3 linked regions of the Drosophila melanogaster genome follow. The protein of the gene in region 3 interacts with the protein of the main gene of each other region in a pairwise test. Each region holds a gene or a part of one and is shown on either strand. Other genes may lie near its edges. The genes, in order: CG4461, CG2767 and CG10051.

Region 1 (6,860 bases), on a different chromosome or scaffold from region 3:
TAAGAACAAATAATAATCTGCACGGGTAGGCGTGCGTTTTATTCCATACGTGTTTCTTGTGTTTTCTTTTCTTGCATTTCACACAAAAAAAAAGAAGCGAGAAAGCTGACGGGAAAAGCACTCAATTACTAATAGTGGGAGATTGCTGGCGTTATATGTATGTATGATTTTCTAAAAAACATATGTGACAACAACTACAAGTATTCCAGTAAAACTTAAAGACAGAAACACGAAATAATGTACTTAATAAAGAGGAAAACCAGAATAAAAAAAACTGACGTTTTGTTTTGTTTGCCGTTAGCCGGCTGTTTCTTTTGCGCTCTTTCTAGAAAATTGCAACAACTCTCTAGAAACTTCGGCTCTCTCACTCATACAGGCGCACTAGCTCTGCTTTTGCGCGTACGACAACAACTACATTTAAAATTTCTCGAAACTCATGGCATTTATTGGGAAAGGTTAGTTAGTTTTATTTTTTGTTTTTAGAGCAGCATTCAATTTAGACTTTTATAAAAGAAATTTCTAATTTGATCCCTCGTTTATCAAACGATACAAAGCTATATTCATAATTTTTTCTCTCTGTGCACGTTCTCTCTCTTCTCTTCTCTCTCTCTACTCTTTCCTTTTTCTGTCACTTTCCGGACTCTTCTAGAAAAGCTCCAGCGGGTATAAAAGCAGCGTCGCTTGACGAACAGAGCACAGATCGAATTCAAAAATCGAGCAGTGAACAACTCAAAGCAACTTTGCGCAAAAGCAAAACTTCAAACGAGAAAAAAAAGGATTAAAAACCTTTGCTTACAAGTCAAACAAGTTCATTCAACTTAACCAAAGAAAAAATATTTCAATCTCGCAAAAGGAACATAACCTAAAGGAAACGTAAAAATGTCGCTATCTACTCTGCTTTCGCTTGTGGATGAACTCCAGGAGCCCCGCAGCCCCATCTACGAGCTTGGACTGGGATTGCATCCGCATTCCCGCTACGTGCTGCCCCTTGGCACTCAGCAGCGCCGTTCCATCAACGGATGCCCTTGCGCATCGCCGATATGCCCATCGTCGCCCGCCGGCCAGGTTTTGGCTTTGCGGCGCGAGATGGCCAACCGCAACGACATTCACTGGCCGGCAACCGCCCATGTGGGCAAGGATGGATTCCAGGTGTGCATGGACGTCGCCCAGTTCAAGCCCAGTGAGCTCAACGTGAAGGTGGTGGACGACTCCATCTTGGTCGAGGGCAAGCATGAGGAACGCCAGGACGACCATGGTCACATCATGCGCCACTTTGTGCGCCGCTACAAGGTTCCCGATGGCTACAAGGCGGAGCAAGTGGTCTCGCAGCTGTCGTCGGATGGCGTGCTCACCGTCAGTATTCCCAAGCCGCAGGCCGTCGAGGACAAGTCCAAGGAGCGCATCATTCAAATTCAGCAAGTGGGACCCGCTCACCTCAACGTTAAGGCAAATGAAAGCGAGGTGAAGGGCAAGGAGAACGGAGCACCCAACGGCAAGGACAAGTAAAGGAGCCATCATCATCCAACATCATCCATCATCATTCCCCTACTTAATTGTTCCTAATTTATTGCATTGTATTTGTAATGAGCTAAAGACTAGAATACTCATATTAATTTAATAAATCCTTTTGTTCACCTGGTGTGGAAAATTAAAATTGTTGTGACTTTTGTATATGAAAGTTGGTTTTTGAAAGAGGCAAATATTTGGAAATATCGATTTGAAGATTTGAATTGGGCGCGACGAGGTGAAGACCCATTCGTAAACACCAGTGTTTCTACCAAATATTTATTGCGCATTTATTATATCAACTACGGGTACAATTTGTATTTTATTTATGTTTGAATCCAATTTAAATGTTCGGCTGCAATTGCTTGGTGTCCGAAAATAGTTCACCTTGAGTTAGGCGCATTCGATGGTTGGGATTTGGGTTTGGTAAAAACACATTCACTGTTTGCCTTCCTGATTTTTGACACATGGTCCACTATTTCCAGGGCAGGGCCAGCTTTCCGGTTTCATGAACGCGGACCAATCTCTCTCCGGGCGTGTAGTACTTGGCTGGCGGCGGTGGTGGAGCCTTGATGGTGAGGATGCCATCGCTGGATATGTCCGAGATTACCTCATTGGCATTGTATCCGCGGGGCAGAAGGTACTTCCTCACAAAGTGCCGCTCCACCAGGCCATTGGAACCCTCGTCGCGACGATTGTGATTTCCCTGGACGATGACATAGTCGTCATTGGTTTTGACCACAATGTCGTGGGGATGAAATTGTCGCACATCGATGTCAATCCGAAATCCCTTCTCATCCACATGGACACGCTCACCGGAATAGTAGTTGTCCCACCTCATTGGATGCGCCCACTCATACGGCGTCGATTGGATCAACTGGTTGCGCACTCGACGCGACACCAGCTCATCCAGAGGTCGGAGTAGGTCACTTCTGCTGGTGTGAGGCGATGGCCACCAGAGACGCGAATCGTCCCACAGATACGGATATAGCTGGAAATCATACGGCGGATGGTAGAGCGGACGGAGTCGATCAAATTCGCGCGACAAATCGCGATATGTGGTAGGCACCAGAGACATTTCTCGCCGGGATTAGGGCAGCGATTCGCTTATGTACGAGTCCGAAAATCTTATAAAATTTGTCGCCGCCGCCGTCAGTTCTTTTATAGATGGCCGACTGGCCTCGCCGGATGCGGATTGCGGATGGCGGATGATGGCGGAGACGATAGATGAGTCATCCGGACGAGGCGCATCGGATGGGATCGAAACGAATCGGATCGGATCGGCCAAGTGCAGCGGTGAAGGCGAGGCCAACGAGGTGCACACGACAATATAAACGGCCAGTTGGACCCGCGTCAAGTGGCTACGTCACTAGAATCATCGAAGGAAGCGGAAAAAGATGCTACATGACCAAGGTGTCAGACGAATGCAAACAAAATGGAAAGTATTTTTGGGGCTTTTAAATTGTATCTCCATCTAAGGCAATCATTAGATCTTCGAATGGATCCATTTTCATGACTTGACAGATACATATAAATTATATATAATAATCTATAATACTATCCATATCAAATGTGTTCCCAGTGAAAGAAATATTTTGATCATATAGTCTTTTCGAATATTTATTTTCTTCTACATAAAAATATTGGGCTTGCGGGCTACCGAATCACAATTGTTTTAAAATTAACTTGTTAATTTAACAAGAACTTAAATTTGATAGGTTTTGGAATATCTAAACATAGGAGTTCACTAGCATTTTATCGGTTTTAGTATAATCTTAACTTATTTCTACTGACTGGCGGCTTTGTCATTTGGCTCCTCGGCGGACTTCTTTGCCGGCTCGCCAGTCTGCTCGATGGTCACCTCACGCTCCTTGAGTGTCTCCTGCACGCCTGGAGGATTGGGCACACTGATGGTCAGGACGCCGTCGCTGCTCAGCGTTGAGGTCACCTTGTCCGCCTCGTATCCTTCCGGCAGGACGAAGCGGCGGAGGAAGTGCCTGGAGCTATAGCCACCTTGTTCGGCCTCCTGCTGCTCTGATTTTCCCTCCACCAGGACAACGCTCTCGTCCAGCACCTTGACCTTTAGCTCGCTGTAGTCCTTGACGTCCAGGGTGAGTTTGTAGCCATCCTTGTTGACGGTGGCCGGCGGAGCGAACTCCTGCTCCTGCCAGCGGGCAATCTGCTGCCAGTTCCTCGGTAGCGCCACACTCCAAACGGGCGGCTCGTGGAAGAAGGCGTGAAAGGGCGAGGAGAGGCGTGGCATCCGTGCCATCTCCTCGGCCATGCGCCAAAACATCGGTAAGGAACGCATTGTAGTTAATAAGGTAACTTGGTTTTTCCAACAAAAGCTTCTTATGCAAATTCGAATAATTTGATGAAATTCCGTCCAATTGTTGTCTTTGAAATACTTCTTGGCTTTTTTTTAAATTTTTCCTCTATGTTTCGAAGATAATCTTGTTGTCTGAAGTTTCAATCCTATGAAATTTCTATTTAGCTGGCGAAATTTTAATTTAGTTGACTTTCTTCGAGTTGTTAGCAGTTGGTTTGGTTTTTTTGAACTGAGAGCGCAGTGTCCAACCGGTGGCTATTTATACTCTTGGCAGAGAGGAAATCCATATAATCTAGAAAATACCGGCACTCTCTCGAATTTTCTTCGCCCTTTGCTGATGCAATTTTCCACTTTGCCTGAAATCGGGCAATGGCATTTAGTTAGGGGTTGTTCACTGTTCTTTAGCGAACTCCGTGGAAGTTTCTGGGGCTCTCTGGGTGTCCAAATATTACTTTATTTACCTTTTATTTTAGCATTTAGCGAAGTTCTCTCTCGCTGTTGCGCCTTGGGGAAGGTCAGTTTCCATACGCAGAGAGACAGATTGAGAGAGCTCCATTAGAGAGTGGGAGAGAGAAAGTTTTGTGGGAGTGCACAGCTTTCTGAGTGCGAGTGTATACGTGTGTGTATTGATAAGCTTGCCATGGGTGTAGTCAAGAACTTGAGATATATGAAAAATACAGCTTAATATTAACAAATAATTAAAGTTTTCTGTTTTTTTTAGCTATTAATAATTAATTAATTAATTAATATTAATCTTCATTTATTCAGAAATATAGCGACGTTTATCGTCAAAGTCCCTCCTTTTGAGCCCATTCATTCCAGGAGCCTTTGTAGATCACCACACTAAAATGAGCATACATATATGTATCCGATATAAACTATTGCAACTATAATACAATTTTAAAACTCACTTGCTGTATCCCTGACTTTTGGCAATTTTCTCTGCTTCCAAGACTCGATTTCCCGACCGGCAGGTGAATATGATTGGCGACTGCTTCTCCGGCTTCGATCTTCCGTACTTGTTTTTAAAAGCAGATCCATCCAGATTTAGAGCCTTGTCCAGTTCATCCACTAAGTAAATAAATAGTAATAAAACACATAGTAATAAAGCAAATACTAGGGAAAGTAGTTTATTACAGGGTATATTGATGCTGGCTGGAATGAAGCCCGTCTGCTGGAGCTCTTCCTTCCGTCGAACGTCGATAAGATACACATCCGGATGGTTGGGCACATCCTTAACCTGTTCGTACGTGGCCATTGTAGTTATGGGGCGGAGCACGAATTTCAACCGGTTCGCCAGCTGAATAACAACTGACTTGCCAGCTGGGCGCAGATGATCCATTTATGAGGTTCAAGATTAAAGATTCGGGTATGTACATATGTATGTGCGTACTTGCTTATCGCATTTTGATTATCGTGGTGTCGTCTTGTTTGTCCAGCTGACACTGGAGATTGCGCCTCTCATCTGTATCCGATTTCACTTTGAATTTGAAATTAAAATCTTATGGTATGATCTCCAATACAGAGCTTGCTATCTGCACTCATTTTATACATACATACATACCTTATGGCGGATCACATATAACAGTTTACAGTCTACGAAAGCTTGGCCCCCAGAAGGTTCCCAGTTGTCTCCCTAGAATCAACGAAACAACGAGTTGCTGCTCCAGAAAAGCTCTGTGGCAATGGGCAAAGCTCTTCCGTCTCTATAAAAGGGCGCAGACAAACCGTTAAACTCCACATTCGAGTCGGAAAAGTCAAGGTGAATTGTGCGCCAAACTGCAGCTGAGATTGTGGATTCCACCACCCGCTGGCAAATCAACCCCTTGGATACTTTTTGAAAGGAAAACAGGTCGTCGGTTCAACGAACCTCCTTCCGCCAGATACACAAAGAAGTTAAGCAAAGAAAAGTAAAATGCCAGATATTCCCTTTGTCTTGAATTTGGACTCCCCGGACTCCATGTACTACGGCCACGATATGTTCCCGAATCGCATGTACAGGCGATTGCATTCGCGGCAGCATCATGATCTTGATTTGCACACCCTGGGTCTGATTGCCCGGATGGGTGCACATGCCCATCACCTGGTGGCCAATAAAAGGAACGGAGAGCTGGCTGCATTGAGCCGCGGTGGAGCCTCAAATAAGCAGGGCAATTTCGAGGTCCATCTGGATGTGGGACTCTTTCAGCCAGGTGAACTGACCGTCAAACTGGTCAACGAGTGCATTGTGGTCGAGGGAAAACACGAGGAGCGCGAGGACGATCATGGACATGTATCCCGGCATTTTGTTCGCCGCTATCCGCTGCCCAAGGAGTTCGATTCGGATGCCATTGTTTCCACTTTGTCGGAGGATGGAGTTCTCAATATCACGGTTCCACCATTAGTTTCCAAGGAGGAGCTCAAGGAGCGCATCATACCCATTAAGCATGTGGGTCCATCGGATCTCTTCCAGAATGGAAACGGTCATAAGGAGGCCGGTCCGGCAGCTTCTGCTTCAGAGCCAGAAGCCAAGTGAAGAGCCCCCTCCTAAAGATTGCAGCCTAAGCAGCCAAGTGATTTCCCAAGACTCTCGTTTATCGTTGCACCAAAAAAAAAGTCAAGAAAATATCGCACAAATCGTATTATATTTATTAATTTATTATTAGCTACATTTTAAACAGTCCAATCAAATTTTAAGACTAATCGAAATCCAGTATTAATAAAGGAATATGAATGTCTCAGTAATCAAAAGACTTTTACTAATATTTAAGAGCTTAATTCATATCAAAAAGCACGAAATCCAATTTTGGGTACAATATTAACTTTCCTTTGTTCGATTAGACAGGTATTAAAAGCTGTGCATATTAAAAATAGGTCCCCGGATGTCAATCCTACTTAAAAAAGCTTTGGTTAGCCTTTTCCCAGGTGCGATTGAGTGAACTTTTGAACTTTGAAATGAAAGCCCGCCATAAGTGTAATTATCGATAGCTTTTAGTCATCTTTCCAAAACTATCTATCGAAGTAACAGTTTTTAACAAGTGGTAAG
Region 2 (8,012 bases), on a different chromosome or scaffold from region 3:
AATTCGTATATTATGAATTTACATTTTTTATATTTATGTTTGCAGTTCTGGGCAATCGAACACCATTCTGCCGTGCTGCCACTCTGTCTACCTGGTGTCCTGGAACTAAACTATAAAATCAACACTATCGTGCGGGATTCACTAAAGGCCTCCGTTGAATCAGTCACCTCCATCCTAATGATCATCCTCATGCTGCTTATCATCGTGTTTCTAAGCGTGTTCTTCTGCGTGAACATTTACTCGGAGACGATTGAGGTGGCTTACCTGGGCAAGGATTTAATTAACAAGACGATCACAGATCGGCCTGAGCTAATTGACATCTTGCCTGCCAACATGCAATCGTCCATCGAGGATGCTCTTGATAACGCACACCATTATGGTCGCCGTAAGATTGAAACCTACATAGACGACTGGCTGGCAGACGCCGATAAGGTGCACGCCACCAAGTTGAAGGAGCAGATCCTCGAAGTGTGGGACCGGCTCATCCAGTATTGGATCGATTTCAATAAGGCCGGTTCATCGTACGGGCCGCGGGTACCAACGGATGCCCTGAAAAGCACATTTGGCGAAATCGTCGACAATCCAGGTAAGCATAAGTTCCACTCCCTATGGCTTCTTTCAATTTTCTTTCCTCCCGTTTTATTAATACATTTTTTGAGTTCTTTTTCGGGGTTTCCGCATGGGTGTCCGGGCTTTCGTTAAGTACTTGCTCCCATCATCCATCCCGTAACACTCGTTTGCGTCTATGAAATAACTCATACTGTGTGCATCTGCTAACCGATGGCCGTTTATTTAACCAAGGACATTTTAAAGAGCTAGTTTTAGTGGCAAAACAGGGCATTATCGGCTGGGCGCAGAGCAATACGCAGACGATCCTCGAGGTTGCAGAGTCGTTGTGGCACATCATCCGGACCAACATGTCCATGATAATGGGCGTGACCGGGGAGATTCTATCCCTTGTGCTTTCGGGTGGACAAGCGTGCATTGAGTTTATTCTAGATATGGTAAGTGTATATAAATAGGCTTTTAATCAATACTAATTACTTAATCACACTTTCTTTAGATTGTATTCTTTACGGCTCTGTTCTACCTGCTCTCGAGCAGTCAGGAGAAGTACGCGCCCCTGCAGATCACAAAATACCTGGGCTATTCCAGCTCGGGTATCAAAATCGCCGATGCCCTGGAAAACTCCATTACCGTAGTCCTAGTCTCAATGTTTAGGTGCTCCACCTTTACGGGTCTGTTCACCTGGTTAGTCCATACGGTTTTCGGGGCCCGGATTGTGTTCCTGCCGTCCGCCTTGGCAGCTATGTTGGCTGCTGCTCCTTTCCTAGGCAGTTACTGGTGTGCGGTGCCAGCCTTTCTAGAGCTTTGGCTGGCCCAGGACCGCTTCTATGCAGGACTTATATTGTTCCTGCTTCAGTTTTTCGTGCCATCATCTTTTGAAACTGCTATATATGCGGACCTCAAAGGGTAAGTACACTTTTTTGGTGGGATAAATGGAATTTAATATCTCATCATTTTGCTAACATTTGTCAGTGGACATCCCTACCTCAACGGCCTGGCCATAGCAGGCGGAATGTATTGGATCGGTTGGCAAGGAGCTATTTTCGGACCCCTTATGCTTTGCTTCTTCATCGGCCTTTTTGAGGTGGCCACGCTGGCCATGCGCAGTCATCAAGAGCCCAGGTAATTAGACTTTCCCAAGCCAAATTCGATGAATTTGTTTAATTTGCATGCAAAGTATGAACCACATCAGACTTGTGCGGCAGGGATTAAAGTGAGTTATTTGCTGGCATGCTTATTTAGATTTAAAATCTTTTATACCATTGCAGAGGATTTTAGTAAGAAGTCTACAATGCAGGGATTCACTAGCCATGTCCGTCTGTCCGTCAAGGAAAAATTTCCAAAAGTTTTCTTTCAATGCAGAAACGGTCCAGAAAAGAATATTTTATTATACCGCCGTCAAGAGTAAGAGTATATAAATACTGCAAGGGTATATAAGCTCCGGCTTGCCGAAGCTACTTACTTCTTCCTTGTTATATCTTAATTTAATGAAAATCCTTTGCTGAATTTCAGGAACAGTACGGACGAGGAGCGGACCACGTGAGTTGGCATGGACCAGAAACTACGAATTTCCTTTTAATACTCGAACTGCGAACTAACATAAGCTGTGTGGCCAAATACCTGACAATCAAAATGAGATTGGCCCGAATATCATAACCTAGACATAGGCTGGAGCTTCCTTTAACTATTGTTGTTCGTTTCTCAGTTGCTAATCTTACCGCTTTGCGAACATTGATTTTTATGATATTATTCAATATTCCGTCTATGCAGCAAGCGCTCCTTAATATCTATTCTATCGATCTTAGTGTTCTTACATACAAAATGTACCTCGAATTATTTGTAGTCGCGAAACATTTCCAAAGCCTTCAAGTACCGATATCGTGCTCGCTACTAATTGCTTAATGTAAAATTGTGATGTGTTTAAACTTAGATACAAAATGTCTTGCAAATATATTTCTGTACTAACTAACTACCGCTGAATGCAAGCTTTTTTGAATTTGAAAGTGGTTTTCCAGCTCGATTCCTCGAAGGGTCAACGAAACTGTTAACGACAGTATAATAAAAACGAACGATAACACGGATGGAAAGTCTGTCATAGAGGGAAAACCTGTTGAGCTGAAAATCGTAACGAAAACCAAGACATTTCAACTGTTGAATACCAAAGAAAACCAGTAAAGAATTTGTATATAAATATCATAACTACATTTTATCTGTGTATAATGACCGAATTGCGAGTAATTACTTTTTTTATAACTGTTACAAAATAAATGGTTGCTTTTCTATACTTTCGACACAAAGTAATGTTTTGGAAAAGAATTTACTGCGTTCATTTGAATTCTTTTTATATAGCTATGCCGTTTAGTTCGTGTACTGATTCTTGAAGGTAAACTCAGGATGCCTTTCCACACTGTAAACAAAATAAAAATAAATAAATAAATAAAATAGAGGGATTAAAGCTAAGTCATATTTTTATACCCATGGAAGAATGCAAAGTCACAGATTCGAATATTCTGGTCCAGGCTAGACAACTTGGCCACCTCCTCGGCCGTCAGTTCGAAATCGAAGACGTCCAGATTCTGTTTAAGGCGAGCGGGATTCGTGCTCTTGGGAATGGCGGATACACCAGTGTCGATAATCCAGCGGAGGAGGACCTGCGCTGGCGTCTTGCCATGGCTTGCGGCAATCTCCTTCACCTCAGGGATGTCCATCAGGTCCGGCAGATCTCTCACGATGCCCGCTCCAGCATTAAACTTGGCGATTCCCTTGGATCCCAACGGGGAGTAGGCAGTTACGGTAATGTTTTCGGACTTGCAGAAGTCGACCAGATCTCGCTGCTGCAAATAAACGTGGTGCTCAATCTGGTTGTTGGCCGGCCGGATCTTGCAGTTCTTCAACAGACGGGCCACCTGATCCTTGCTGAAGTTGGATACCCCAATGGACTTGGTGAGACCCTTCTCCACCAGGGCCTCCATAGCAACCCAGATGGCTGCGTGGTTCGTGGTAACGTCGACCTCCATTAGGCCCTCCTTGTCGAGCTGAAAGTTAATGCTCGAGATGTGTATAGGAGTTGGGATTAGATTCCGTAGCACAACTACCTTAAAGCTTCCGTCCTCGTTGATATTAATTGTGAAGGGAGTGTGCACCAAATATAAGTCCACATAGTCCAGTTGCAGATCTTCCAGTGACTTTTTGATGGTTGGCTCAACTTCGTGGGGGCGGTTGGCTAAAACAAGGATTATATTATTATTATATTATTTTTGAAATAACTGGACTCGTAATAGTGAAAACTCTCACAGCTATATTTATAGTCATTCACATCAGGTTCATTTATCATATCAAAGAGTCATGTGGTGATAATAAAAATGTTTTTAAATTGAAATTATGAACACTGAAGGAGTCTATGTTGGTGTTTTAAAATCACGTTCCTAGTCTTATTTTATCAACTAGATATCAAAAAGAATATTGGTAGCTGGTGTAAAATGCTTTGGTTTCTATGGATCTTAAGATTCTGTGGGCATAGAACATAGGAACTATTTATAAATGTTTATATGGCATTTTGAAATACCATCCAACTACTAAATGCTACTTACAAACGGGTGGCACCTTGGTCACAATGAACAGCTCCTCCCGCTTGACCTTGCCGGCGTCCAGCCAACGCTTTAGGACTCTTCCGATGGCCTTCTCATTGCCGTAGACTGGCGCCGTATCTATGTGGCGATACCCAGCTTCCAAAGCCGCATCGATGGCGGTTTCGATTTCCTCATCAGATGCCTGCATTGTGGTGATGAAAGTGCGGTTTAGTGGTATTGTATATATATTGATTATAGGATTTGCATAATCTACACTACCCGAAAATCTTCAAACTCGATTTACAACGATATTTATTCTCCCGTGACCAGAGAAAGTCCAGTCCACCAGTGGATATGAATGGTGGTTTATTGTTTGTTTTTGAAAACCGGTCTAAAGTCCCCCAGCACCAACCAAATTGTTGATTGCATCGGAATCGGAATTTCAAGAGATTTAAATGACGTGTCAGCGATTTGTTGAGGTCATTAATAAGTTGAAACAATAGTATTAAGATTCGAATATCTACTATCCATTTAACCACTTACAAGCAATCTATGAAATTACAGAATTAACGTGATTATAAATACCTGCCAGGTGCCGATGCCAATCACGGGCATCTTCTCTCCATTGTTGAACGTTAAGAACTTGGTGTTGACCATTTTGTATTGATTTTTGATAACTTGTACACTAAAACAGACTTGAGTAACAGATTAAATGGAAAAGATGCGGCACAACCTGTTGCTTCGAGGATTGAATTGAAATTAAACAAGAAGCTACGACCCAGTCACCGGCCCACTTATCTCACCCAATCCAATGAGATTCTGCCTTTTGCAAAGCGCGGTCTTACTAGTCGATATTTGTTTAACAAAACAATCGAATTTAAAAATAAATGTACTTACCATAAATGGTTTAAGGCTCGTTTACTATAAAATATCGGACTAATTTATTTGCATTTTAGTTAGATTTAATATTATAACAATAGAAAAATTTGTAGCTCATATCCAAATACTGTATAAGTGTGTGTAAGAAAAATTCAATTCCGTTTCTAAATGATTTTAAGCTTTTAGAGAACAACTAATCCACCACTATGGAGAAGTTAGTGAACGTGAATTCTGAAAGTTCTGTAGTCTCACTGAAAATGCATTTGTCAATTCGACTGGTGGGGCTGCCGGTGTGCTTTAGCCAGAGGCGCCTGTAAAAGAACGGCTTGATAATTAAACGTTGAATGGAAAAAATCACTCACATGGACTCAAAGGAATGTCGGTGTGCTTGAATTTCGCCCTTCACCGTATTCTCGTTGGTGTTTTTGCACCAACCCCGGACTCCCAGCTTTTGAGCTCTTCGCAAGGTGTACTAAAACATGGTAATTGGATTACAGTAAAGAGATTTCACATATACAATAAGAGGTAGCAGAAAATCCATAGCTCAAAGGGGTTTTGAAGATCCCATTTCCCAGCAAGCTCTTACCATTCGAAATGAAACGCCTGTTGGTGCCAGATAACTAATTATTGCGACTATACGATTTGTGAATACCCTACCTTGCACAATGCCGAACACTTCGAATTGGCAGCTGAAGACCGGCTCATCGCTTCTGTCCGATGTTACTCTTTTTTGGAACTCTGTGTTCGAAATTCGGTTGGGCTCCTCGCTGCCTTTTTTGGATGGTGTACCTTTATCTGGTGTCGAAGATGGAAGAGTTACCCTCCTACGTTCACCCTCAGTCTGCGTTTCTTGGGAGGTCATTTTACAACTCGTATATTTAACATATTTGGAGCGGAAACTGTCAAAAATCGATAGGTCGATAGGGATTGAGGGTTTTATTTTGGGTCACCTTGAATTTCAATGGCTTTAAAAACAGTACATTTTAAATGAAATGACTTGAACAAGGTAAAACAAAAACAATAGCAAAAGTTACGTTTTCTTATTGTCAACAAATGAACACTTATGTTGAAAATTCGACAGCAATCCTAGAGCGGTATTTTTAGATCTAGCTTTTTTAGCCTTTTTTAAATCGTCGGTCGACCCGATCAGTCTGGTTCGGGCTATCGGGGCATGTAAGGGTCACCCTGTGTTCAAGGCGGTTCGTTGGAACCAGTTCCGAACTGTCTTTGAACAAAACAAAATCACCCAGACAAAATAGTGAATTACAAATATTACGCAGATTCTACATCAACGCACTATGCATACCGTGTACGCGCTTCTGAAGAACAAGCTGAGCGATGTGCATCCCCTACACAACATCGATCTGACGCGGGATGTGGCCTACCTAAAGGCGGTGGTGACCAAAGAGATGCACTTGCAATTCGACGCCAGCGAGTTGGGTGAGTGACCCTCGGGATTCAAATCGCTGTCCATTGTCTCTATTGTGTCAAGTCATTTGCTGCGCACTTGCAGAGATCATCCACCACGGACGCGTGCTGGAGGACGCAGACACCCTCAACCGAACGCTGCAGCCCAACGCCGTGATCCACTGCTTTCAGAAGATTAAACGTTACTCGCCGTATGTGCCGCCAGCCGCCGCCGAAATCAACACGAAGCATATTCAAGAGCTGTTTTCGTTGACCTCGCACCTGCAAATCAGCGTTACCTCGCGGTTCAACATTCTGCAGAAGATACTCGCTGAGTATCCGGAATTTAGGCGAAATCTGGGCGCCCAGGCCCTTATTCGCGACTCCGTACTGTTCAACATGCTGCACGAGCCGGAAGTGGTCCAAAATCTCGTTAAAGATTATCCCCTCATCTGCGAGGCCGCTCCATTCATAGTGGACACCATTCGCAAGGAGCTAGCCAGAAATAGCTCGGCCACGCAGTGTAACTAATGCCGTATCTATTCTTGATTTGTATATTTTACCCGTTTCTTCCTTTTTAGTGCAGGAGCAAGCTGCTTCGGAGTCTACTACTTCGTCAGAGGAGGAAAACTCTCTGGGTGCAGGCAGCAGCAGCAGTGGTGGAAGCAGCAGCACAGCCGTGGCAGCTGCCGCGGCCGCCAATCGGCGTGATGAGATGGCCAACATCCGTCAGATTAGCCGCCAGCAACTGGCTAACGCATTGGCTAACGTGACCCCGTTTAATTCACTGTCGAATATTGCGCAGAGAAACGCGGACGAGGCCGTGCAGGGTGATGAAAGACCTAGAACCACCTCGGCGCCATTAGCAGGCGTTGGAGGAGCAGCGGGAACAGGCGCAGGAAGCAGCAGTGGAGCCATCAGCAGCGGATCCATATCCTCAGAGTTGCTCCGCAACGAGCTGGCCCGCGCTTTTCAGTCCCTGTCGCAGGATCAACCGGCGCCTGTGGAGAACATGGAGGTGGAGTCCGGAGAAGGACCAGTACCAGAGCAAGCCGCCACAGCACCAGCCGATGATGTAGATGACGAGGACGATGGTGGAGACGACAGTGATGTGCTGCCACGCCGCTACCGTCGCCATCGGTTCACCGAACAACTGCGTACCATGGCCGCCATGGGCTTCATTAATCACACTCAGAACGTTAGTTATCTAGAACTTTCCGATGGGAATGTGGAACACGCTATTAATCTGCTTATGCTGAGCATGAATTAATAAGGATCGGAATTGACTAAAAAGCCAACATAATGTGCTTACTTTACGGACTTATATTTATTCTGCTGCTGAGGATTCTGAAGCATTAAACTCCCAACTTAAGCAAGGAATATCTCTTAATAACTTTTAATAATTAAATATACGTTTAGAGGAGTCATCTTTGTAAGCTAATTGGGGTGGGATTGCGGAGTTTGGGCATGGGGGTAAAAGCCGGCCGTACAAAAGGTTTCCACTAAATTATACTAGTTGATTAGATAGTCCAGCGCCTTGTCCTTATTATTGTTGAACTTGAGTAGCGCCGCCGAGATTTTCGATTCGTC
Region 3 (9,482 bases):
ATACAGTGGGCTTGATCATTAATATTGCCACCAAACTGCACACCAAAGGTGAGTTGTATTTATAAGAGTATGCTTAGTTTGATTTTTAATATGTCTTTTTATTCCCAATAGATGTCGCATGGGTCATTCCGCACATTGTTTGCACTGTGCCACCATTTGTATTCTTTGCATATTTCTCGCACGGATTCTTCACCACGTTCATTCCAATGTTTGGTCGTTTTGGAGAGAACCTTAATCCGGATTTGGCGGTGGCTGTTTTCAGTGTCGCTGTGGGCTTCCTCTGCTGCGGTTTCATTATCCCTGTTCTGCAGTTGTTCAACAAATCGAAGACCATCATCTGCGGCCTGATGGGCATCACGTTATTGTGCTTCATTATTGCAATGACACCAATTGGATTCCCCTATCGCCCAGAAACGAATGTCCAGCGTTTCGCTGTCCTGGTAAGAAACTACAAAGTTATATTGTATTGATAAGTAAAAAGGATTTCCTTTTTTTAGCACACCAAGCGTACCTTCCACGACGCTCAAAACAAAGTGCGCCGTCAGGAATCTGGTTACTTCATTATGCCCCAGGACAGACGCACTTACACCGTGAAAAGTAAGGTGGACTAATTATATTGAAAGGTTAATTCATGGAATTTTTTTTGGCCTTTTAAGATGCTGTTATCAACATGACACTGGCCCAAAGAATTGGATCCGATTGCGATAAGGAAATTAATTGCGGATTGCCCCTATATAATCAGCGTTGGCACAAGACCAGGTTAGTTTCCAACTCAAAAAGTTAGTATGAATTAGTAAACTAATACATTTGAGTCCTTATAGAAAGAACAGTTTATGGATACCCGCATCGGAACCTGTTCTTGGCGAGAATGTGCCAACCGTTTTATTGCTCTCCAAGAATACAGTGTCGCCCACCAAAATTCGCTATGAAATGCAGCTAAGTGGACCCAATCACATGGCCCTCTTTATACAGCCCTTGAACGGAGCAAAGATGATGGACTGGTCCTTCCATCAGGTAATTATTAAAGTCACATAAGTCTGAATTCAATGTTAATATCTCAACAACTACAGGCACCCTTACGTCTGAGCTTTGAGCCACCTTACTTCATCTACTTCTCGTGGGGTGTCAATGGAGATCCACTTAAATTCTGGCTAGAACTAGAGGTAGGTTATGGAAAACTCGCAAAAGTAATTTGTCTATACATATATTTTCCACATCGACCAGAAACCCAACGGAAATTGGAACTCTTCTACTCTGGAACTTGGGCTCGGAGGCCATTGGAACCATCACAAGGAACTAATAACGCCTGACTTTAAGAAGTTCCTCGACAGTTTCCCCCATTATGTGGATGCCACACCCTGGCCAGCTTCATTCGAGAGCCGGATCTTCTAGAGAAGCTATCTAATGTATACATTTTTGTACCTTCGTAAAATAAATATCGTAAGAACTTTGTTCTTGAGATATGAAAAACCATAATCATTGATAAGCGTCAGTTATATTGGGCTGTTCATTTATCAATAATTAATAATAACTAATCCCCTAAGCTATGCGGCCGATATCAAAGTGTTGCGATTGTATATCGCCAATTGAAAGTTACATAATTCCTAAACGTAGAATGTATTTTCTACATGATATGAATGTAGAAATGAGGACTGTTCTACCAAGAAGAGTGTATGTACTTTCGGTGTCCGTAAAATGAATGTCCAAAATTGGTATTAACTCGAATTTTATGGCCTCGTCGGGAAATAATCGGCCATAGATTTAGAATTTATGGTCCAGAGTTTAGCCAACTTGTGTCCCACGCAAAAATATAAATGGCGAAATCGCACATCGCCCCCAAAAAAATAGAGTATTTTTCATAATGTCCATTCACGGAAAGTGTGATGCAGACTGATTTTAGATTGCCAGATTAGGATTTGATAATTTAATATGTCCGAATGCTTATCAGCATGAATAGTTGAACATTTCCGAATGATTATCATTGAGGTAAACACAAATTTAATAAACGTGTGACCAAAATTTTCGTTTAGCCTGTAATGTTCACAGTAGTAAATCATGAGCTGTCCTATAGTACGTCCAGCTTAGACATATTTATTAGTATTTAGTCCCGCTATAAAAAAAAAACCTAAGGCAATAAGAAACAACCAGTGCCAGACAGGTATTCTTATCTGAGCCAAAAATCTAATATACAGCACCAAAAAAATGGTTTAAATTTATTTTGGGTCTGTGGGGTGGTTTACCACCAAGTCATTTAATTCATGAATTTTAATGCCACTTGTTGCATTGTCTTTAATTATTACTTAGTTATTAATGTTACCTAAATTGTACAAGAAAATGTGTTGAACTACTATTAAATGTATAATTCTATTTAATTTGTGTTCTTATCTAACTTACACGTTGTTAATTTATGTGATTCGATAACACGGTCCGTACTTCCCCAAATTAAAGAGAGCAAGCAAATCTAAATTATTTTATGTACGTTTTATGTAGATTTTTTTAGATTTTGGACCCCACCGAAAGATCTCCGCCGAACGTGAGTCCTAATCGCGTTAACAACGGTTCCATAAAAAAGTTATAAAGAGAAAATGCTTCTGGTATCGCCTATCGCTGGATGTAATCGTTTTATGCGCCGAAATCGACGATTATAATCATAATATTTAATTATTATCGCTGCCATGGACGCGATAAGAAATCTAACGCACCGGAGCTGGGCCCTACTTAATTCTTGGGAACCAGCCTGGAGCTTCTTAGTTGCCCAACGGCTGGGCCCTGGTACGGTTGTATTTCATAGTTGGTGATTCCGGTACGAGTCGCGTGTGATCTGAAGGTTAGTGCCTATATGCCTTGCCATATTTCACCAAAGTGATTGTGTTCCTTTAAAATCTAAGAATTGCTTTTGAAAATGTGATAGGCTTGCAAAAATCAATGGATTCGTTACGAAGTGATATAATATGCCGAACAAAAGAGCCTAGTTTCCTGCGCTCTCAAACGAGTATCCATAGGCGATAAGAAAGTTTATATCGGCCATAAAATAGGACCCGGTCTGGTTATCGTTTGCTGTTTTTTGGTATTTTAAATTTTGGAGACCATAAACCTAATTGCTTTGTAGGGTACTAATTTCTTTACGACCTTTCTACACTCTCCAATTGGAGCAATTTATGATAATTTCAAAACTTTTATGGCTTCCAATCGATGGAGACTTCGATTTGGCAACCACTCATATAGCATGAGATAATTGTAAATTATTCCCGATCCCTATATCGTAAAAGCGAATATCGTTTTTATTTGGGGCCAAAAAGTATGCAACGTTTTCTTACAATTTGGTTTGCATAGATTTCCCTTAAAAAGTTTTTTGTGTGGAACCTCTATTTCTTACGACCTATAACTTTCGGATTTCATATTCCAGATGTCTTTCTCAACCGTTGACATTACAGAGGAGAAGGATGGCGGCAAGTCCAGGGATAAGAAATGGCCTTGGTTCGGAGCACCCATTTACGCGGCTGCCGCCTTTGCTCTGTTCTATGCCGCCGTACTGCCCAGTTTTTACAGCTACCCAAAGATGCTGTACCAGAGTGAGGAGGCACTGCATCCGGATAAGTTTATCGGCGAGCGGGCGATGCGCCAGTTGGCCGAGTACTCGGCGATCGGCAATAAGATGAGTGGCTCCATCAACAACGAAGTGCATACGATCAATTTCCTGCTGCGAGAGATCCAGAAGATCAAGGACGAAGCCCGATTGGATCTCTATGACATTGAAGTGGACACGCAGTACTCTTCGGGTGCCTTCCATTTGTGGGGCATGACCATTTCCTACACAAATCTCTCTAATGTGGTAGTGAAAATATCGCAGAAGAGTTCAGACAACGAGAACTATCTGCTGGTCAACTCCCACTACGATTCGGAGGTCCAAACGCCGGCTGCTGGAGATGATGGCGTCATGGTGGTTGTTATGCTGGAAACCCTGCGCGTAATCTCACGCTCCGAAAGAACGCTAACCCATCCCGTGGTTTTCCTATTTAATGGAGCCGAGGAGGCTTGTATGCTGGGTTCCCACGGATTTATCACACAACACAAATGGTCCAAGAATTGCAAGTAAGTGGTGTACCGTGCAAAAGTTAAAAATCGAAATCATTCATTTCCTTTCCACCAATGTCAGAGCCTTGGTAAACCTGGATTCGACCGGAGCTGGTGGCCGTGAGGTGCTCTTCCAAACGGGACCCAATCACCCGTGGTTGGCCAAATATTATCAAGCAAGTGTGCCGCATCCATATGCTCAGACCTTAGCCGAAGAGCTGTTCCAGCATAACTTTATTCCCTCGGACACCGACTTCCGCATCTTCCGCGATTACGGAGGAGTTCCTGGCCTGGATATGGCCAGTGTGATGAATGGATATGTGTACCACACCGAGTTTGATAACTTTAAAAACGTCGAATATGGTACATACCAGTCGACCGGCGAGAACGTATTGCCCCTGATTTGGGCTCTGGCCAATGCTCCAGAATTGGATAACACCACTGCGTATGAGAAGGGACACACCGTGTACTATGATTTCTTAGGCTGGTTCATGATGACCTATACGGAATCGGTGAGCATAGCCATCAATGTGGTGGTTTCTGTGGCGGCCTTTATTTGCATTGGCACCTCGGTGTACATCATGACATTGGACAATGGTGCAGATGCTCCGAAAGCGGTGGTTTTGAGATTCGCCATCATCTTCCTGGTTCAAGCGGGAACTCTGTTCGTGGCCTGCGGCTTAACTCTCTTGGTGGCCGTTTTTATGCAAGGTGTGGGTCTAGCCGAATCCTGGTACTACGGAAAATGGATGGCCTTTGGGCTGTACTTCTGCACCTTGTTCTTCGCCTTTGGCATACTTCCGGCCACTTATATCGGATTCACGAAGAGGAAAACGAACATGAAGTTGGATCAGACCATCGCCTGCTTCATGCACGCCCAGTGCATCCTTCTTGCGCTGCTCTGTATCATCATGACCATCATGGGCATTCGCTCCAGCTACTTCCCCATGGTGGGCATCTTCTTCTACGCGATTTCCGTTCTGGTGCAAATAGTACTGAAACTCACCCTGAAGAGTGAGTATTTATCTTGAGAATATTTGTATGATATTTAAAGCATTTATTCTTTCAATTTAGAGAGCTACTTCGTCACAGTTCACCTGTTGTTCCAAGTGCTGCCCTTCTTCTTTTACACATACATCTGCTATGCGACCCTTGTCACCTTTGTTCCCATGGAGGGTCGCGATGGACCCGAAAGTAGTCCCGATATAATGATATCTGTCTTTATCATTGCAACCGCAATAAACTATGCTGGTTTTGTTGTAAGTTGATACAATCAATCAATTTTTGTTTCAAGATTTTCTAAGCATATGCTTGCAGATTCCCATTATGCACAAGTTCCGAAAGCCCAAGATTATATTCTCATCGTTTGGTGTGATCACAATTATTTTCATCATCTTGGCCTGCACATCCGCCGGTTTTCCATTTGTGAAGCAATTGGCTCCTCAGCGTTACTATGTGCTGGTAGGTTCTTAAATATATTTAACCATATATTTGTATAGCTTATCCCTTAATTTATCCTTCAGCACACACAACGAACATTCCACAATTTGGATGGTACAAGTAAGCAGGACTCGGGTTATTATATTCAACCTGTGGATACACGACTCCATGAATTGGATGACACAACTTTCAAGAACGCCGAGCCGGAAAGCTGGACGGCAGCCACCTGTGCCGCAGAACCGTACTGTGGACTTCCATTGTATAGTGGTCGCTGGATAGAATGGAAGTATGTTAGAGACCGTAACCTGACCTTAGTTGGTATCTAAACTTTTTTCTGCTTGCATCACAGAGACTCTGCTCGTTGGATCTACAGCTCGCCACCTGTGATTCCAATGAACATAAACCTTACCCAGCTGTCTAAACAATCTCTGGATGGCAACAAGGTACGATATGAGTACAACCTGAGGGCCAGCGATCGCGTTATGATGTACATAGATCCGCTTGACAATGTCAAGGTGACAGATTGGTCCTTCGATCATACACCTTTGGTGGAGAAGCACACACCTCCCTATCTGATCTATGCCATATACTCCCAAACCGAGGAGCCGCTCAACTTTTGGGTGGAGCTCGAGCACGAGGAGGGCAACACAGACGGACCCTACATGAAGCTGGTCGTATCCGAGCACTTCCAATACCATCCAGAGTACTACACCGAGGAATACAAGGAATTCCTCGCAACCTTCCCCGATTGGACATATACCACCGATTGGTTCTCGGCCCTCGAGAGCTGGATTGTTTAGGCGGCGATGAGAATATAGACTCCAAAGTTGGCGTATCTTAATAAATAATTTATAGTATATTTTAATAAAATTACAAAGTAGTAACTACAGTGTTCTAATCGTAAATACTAATACAATTTAGGACGTGCCATGCTTATCGACACTTTGTTCGTTGGATTAGGTAAAATTGGTACACTCCATCAACAGTACCAGAATTAAGAGTAGCTGAGGTGTCATGGCAAAAATGGGATTGAGTTGAGTTCGTGAAGGAACTTTGAGTCTACACTTAAAGCTGCCAACTATTGTAGGATCCCAGCCAGGAGCTAACATGCGCCCACGGCGGAAACGTGGCCAGGAACTCACGGAAATCCTCCGTAATATACATGTCATCGTGTATTCGATGACCCATTAGGGCTATTTTGAAAGTGCCTCCCGACCAATTTGGATCTTCGTGCTGGAAATAAGTAGTGAGTTAACTACCCCTCTAAAGTATAATATTTAATTAATATTATTACCTCGAATTCCAGTGAAAACTGCAAGGGTTTGGGATCTAATGCATATGACCAGTACACGTAGTATGGTGGCTTTACATTTCCATCCAGCGGATCCCTAATGAAGGACCAATCCACCAATTTGCTATCGTTTAAGGGCAGAATGAATATGCTCGTGTGATCCGGTCCTGAGATCTCAAGATCAAACCTAATATTTGTATCTGAATTACTCGATTTTTCCAAAATAGTCAGAGTGGGAATATATTCCCTATTTGGCTCGGGACCAGGAACAAAATAGCTGTTATCACTGAAAACAAATAAAACGATGAGTAAAGGTAAGTTGATTGATGTTTTTACAACTTACACTGCATTTAACCAGCGTGAGCTGTAAATGGGAAATCCGCACATGAGCTCCGAGTCACAATCAATACGTTCTGACTTTGTAAAGTTTGTGTTTTCAAAGAGAATATCATCCACGGTGTGAGGACGTCGATCGACCGGAAGGACAAAGTATCCCGAGTCCTTATGACTCACTGTGCTCGCTGGATCGCCATTGTGGAAGGTTCTTGCTGTGTGCTGTAAGAGAATAAAATACTTAGGAACTATAAAGTAAAAATCTAAAAAAATAAAGGACATACCACAGCGAAGAATCTTTGGGGCGCCGTCTTCTCGGCGTAAGGAAAGGCAATCGGTGTTGCGGCAAATATGATAAACACTATCGTGCAGATGCCAAACATTGAGATAATTGTCTTGGACTTGCGGAACAGACAGAACAAGGGCACCAGAAAGGGTGCAAATAGTAGAACCATTAGCGCCGTAAAGAAACCCATTAGAATCTCCGGATTTGTATTACACTCGCGTCCCTGCATGGGCACAAAAACCACATAGAAGGCATAGCAGCAGTAAGTATAGAACATGAATGGCAGCACCTGGCAAATGCAGTGCGGTATGAGCCACAGGAAATCTGAAAGATAATTAATAATTATTTATTAATTAATTAATTAATTATAAAGGGGATCGGTCTTACTTGTTTTGTGTGCCTTAGTTACCAAATTGATCAGCACGGACAGAGTGTAGAAGCCGATGCAGAGCATTATGACAAAGGCGGAACGAATACTATAGCTCACCATTATGGCGGTGATAATGGTCAAGATCAGGCAATGCGAATGCATCAATAGTTGAATGCCATAGCCCAGGGGTAAACCATGCTGAAAAGGATTTAGTTAAATTATGATATTTATTAAGTTACATTAACAATATCTCAAACTCACCTCTTTAGTGCGACTAAAGTAAATAGCTGGCACAATGCCCATACCAAAAATCATGGGGCAGAAGTACAAGCCGAAGAGCATCCAGTTTTGCGAAAACCAGGACATCGGTAGATTCACCGCGTCCAGGAACAGGGCTATCGATATGACCAGACCAATGCCCAGAGCAACTCCAGCCAACTGGAGAGCGGCCAGAATGCCAAACTTTGCCCAGATTCGTCGTCGGAACATGCCCGTACTGCTGGACATCATCCAGATGTACAATACGATGGTGACGCAGACCAGGACACACACGGTAATGTTGATGATAATGCCCGTGGTCTCCGGATAATAGACAAAGAACCAGCCCATCATGTCGAAGAATATCATGTGTCCCTCGGCGTATTTCTAAAGTTGGTAGATTTCTTATTAAAAACTATACTTTTTTTACACAAATTTTTCGAAGAACCCACCGATGGATTCTCCAGTTCTTCTGCGTTGGCCAGGGCCTTGACCAGAGCCAAAATATTTTCACCAGTCAATTGGTAAGTTCGCCGCGGGATGAGATTAAAGCGATCATATTTGGTATGGTATACATAGCCATTCAAAGTCTGTGCCATATCGAGACCTGCCAAACCGAAAGTCTTAATGATTAGGCGCATTTTTGTACTTCACTTTATATTACCGGGTATATGGCCGTAGTCACGGAACACGCGATAATCGGTCTCTGAGGGAACAAAGCCATTTTGGAACAATTCCTCACCGATAGTGGAGGCAAACGGATGAACTATGTTTTTGCCATAGTACTTAAAAGATATGAACAAGATTAACTAAATTCCAAAATGTAAAAACTAATGGGAAATTTACCTTCATGAGCCAAGGATGATCGGGTCCGGATTGAAATAGAATTTCTCGTCCTCCACTGCCAGCCGAGTCCAAATTAATGACCGCTCTAAAAAATAATATAGTTTGTTTAGTTAATATCGTAAATTGTATTTAAGGACTACACATACCTAATGTTTTGGGCCCAAGGATGTTGGGTGATGAATGCATGGCTGCCCTGCAGTGGATTCTCCTCGGCTCCGTTGAAGAGGAATACAACCGAGTAGGTTAGTGGGGTCTCGTATTTCGTGATAACCCGGAGAACTTCCAACATAATCACGCACATCATTCCGGCGTCTCCGGCACCCGAGCTTCCCGGCACCGAATCGAAGTGGGAATTGATCAAAAGAGCAGCTTCACTGGTTGCATTCTTCGGCGATAGCTTGACCACCACATTCTGAATGCTCTGATAGACATTGACCATGGACCAGAGAAGATAGTTACCGGAGGCAACCTGAACATCCTTCTCGATATCGTAGAGATCCGTTCGAGCATCGTCGATGATGTCACCTATCTCGCTGAGAAGAAACTGAACAGCCACCTGTTCGTTGGCCGCACTGCCCACGACC

The links.
Region 1: the proteins of CG10051 (region 3) and CG4461 interact in a two-hybrid assay, tested with the Drosophila melanogaster proteins (one large-scale study listed by BioGRID).
Region 2: the proteins of CG10051 (region 3) and CG2767 interact in a two-hybrid assay, tested with the Drosophila melanogaster proteins (one large-scale study listed by BioGRID).

Annotation. Positions count from the first base shown.
Region 1 is NT_037436.4:9,371,208-9,378,067, reverse strand, and holds CG4461 (uncharacterized protein), read right to left. Parts: upstream 2,639-6,860; 5' UTR 2,585-2,638; coding exon 1,982-2,584; 3' UTR 1,775-1,981; downstream 1-1,774. Other genes in the region: Hsp26 (heat shock protein 26), read left to right, coding at 880-1,506; Hsp22 (heat shock protein 22), read right to left, coding at 3,293-3,817; CG4456 (uncharacterized protein), read right to left, coding at 4,624-4,678, 4,747-4,906, 4,973-5,093; Hsp67Bc (heat shock gene 67Bc), read left to right, coding at 5,751-6,350.
Region 2 is NT_033777.3:8,003,175-8,011,186, forward strand, and holds CG2767 (uncharacterized protein), read right to left. Parts: upstream 4,937-8,012; 5' UTR 4,794-4,936; coding exon 4,722-4,793; intron 4,339-4,721; coding exon 4,158-4,338; intron 3,791-4,157; coding exon 3,663-3,790; intron 3,603-3,662; coding exon 3,043-3,602; intron 2,975-3,042; coding exon 2,926-2,974; 3' UTR 2,750-2,925; downstream 1-2,749. Other genes in the region: CG2698 (uncharacterized protein), read left to right, coding at 46-586, 814-1,004, 1,064-1,473, 1,540-1,689, 2,080-2,106, 2,583-2,742; CG11052 (uncharacterized protein), read right to left, coding at 5,209-5,326, 5,378-5,487, 5,602-5,618, 5,673-5,877; CG3223 (uncharacterized protein), read left to right, coding at 6,314-6,455, 6,529-6,945, 7,004-7,692; CG10435 (uncharacterized protein), read right to left, coding at 7,935-8,012.
Region 3 is NT_033778.4:19,360,900-19,370,381, forward strand, and holds CG10051 (uncharacterized protein), read left to right. Parts: upstream 1-2,741; 5' UTR 2,742-2,827; intron 2,828-3,406; coding exon 3,407-4,092; intron 4,093-4,156; coding exon 4,157-5,088; intron 5,089-5,148; coding exon 5,149-5,333; intron 5,334-5,391; coding exon 5,392-5,535; intron 5,536-5,597; coding exon 5,598-5,800; intron 5,801-5,863; coding exon 5,864-6,314; 3' UTR 6,315-6,395; downstream 6,396-9,482. Other genes in the region: CG11961 (uncharacterized protein), read left to right, coding at 1-48, 112-440, 498-597, 657-759, 822-1,014, 1,071-1,163, 1,225-1,392; CG9416 (uncharacterized protein), read right to left, coding at 6,580-6,747, 6,809-7,091, 7,149-7,360, 7,423-7,748, 7,812-7,992, 8,056-8,439, 8,505-8,659, 8,717-8,837 and 2 more.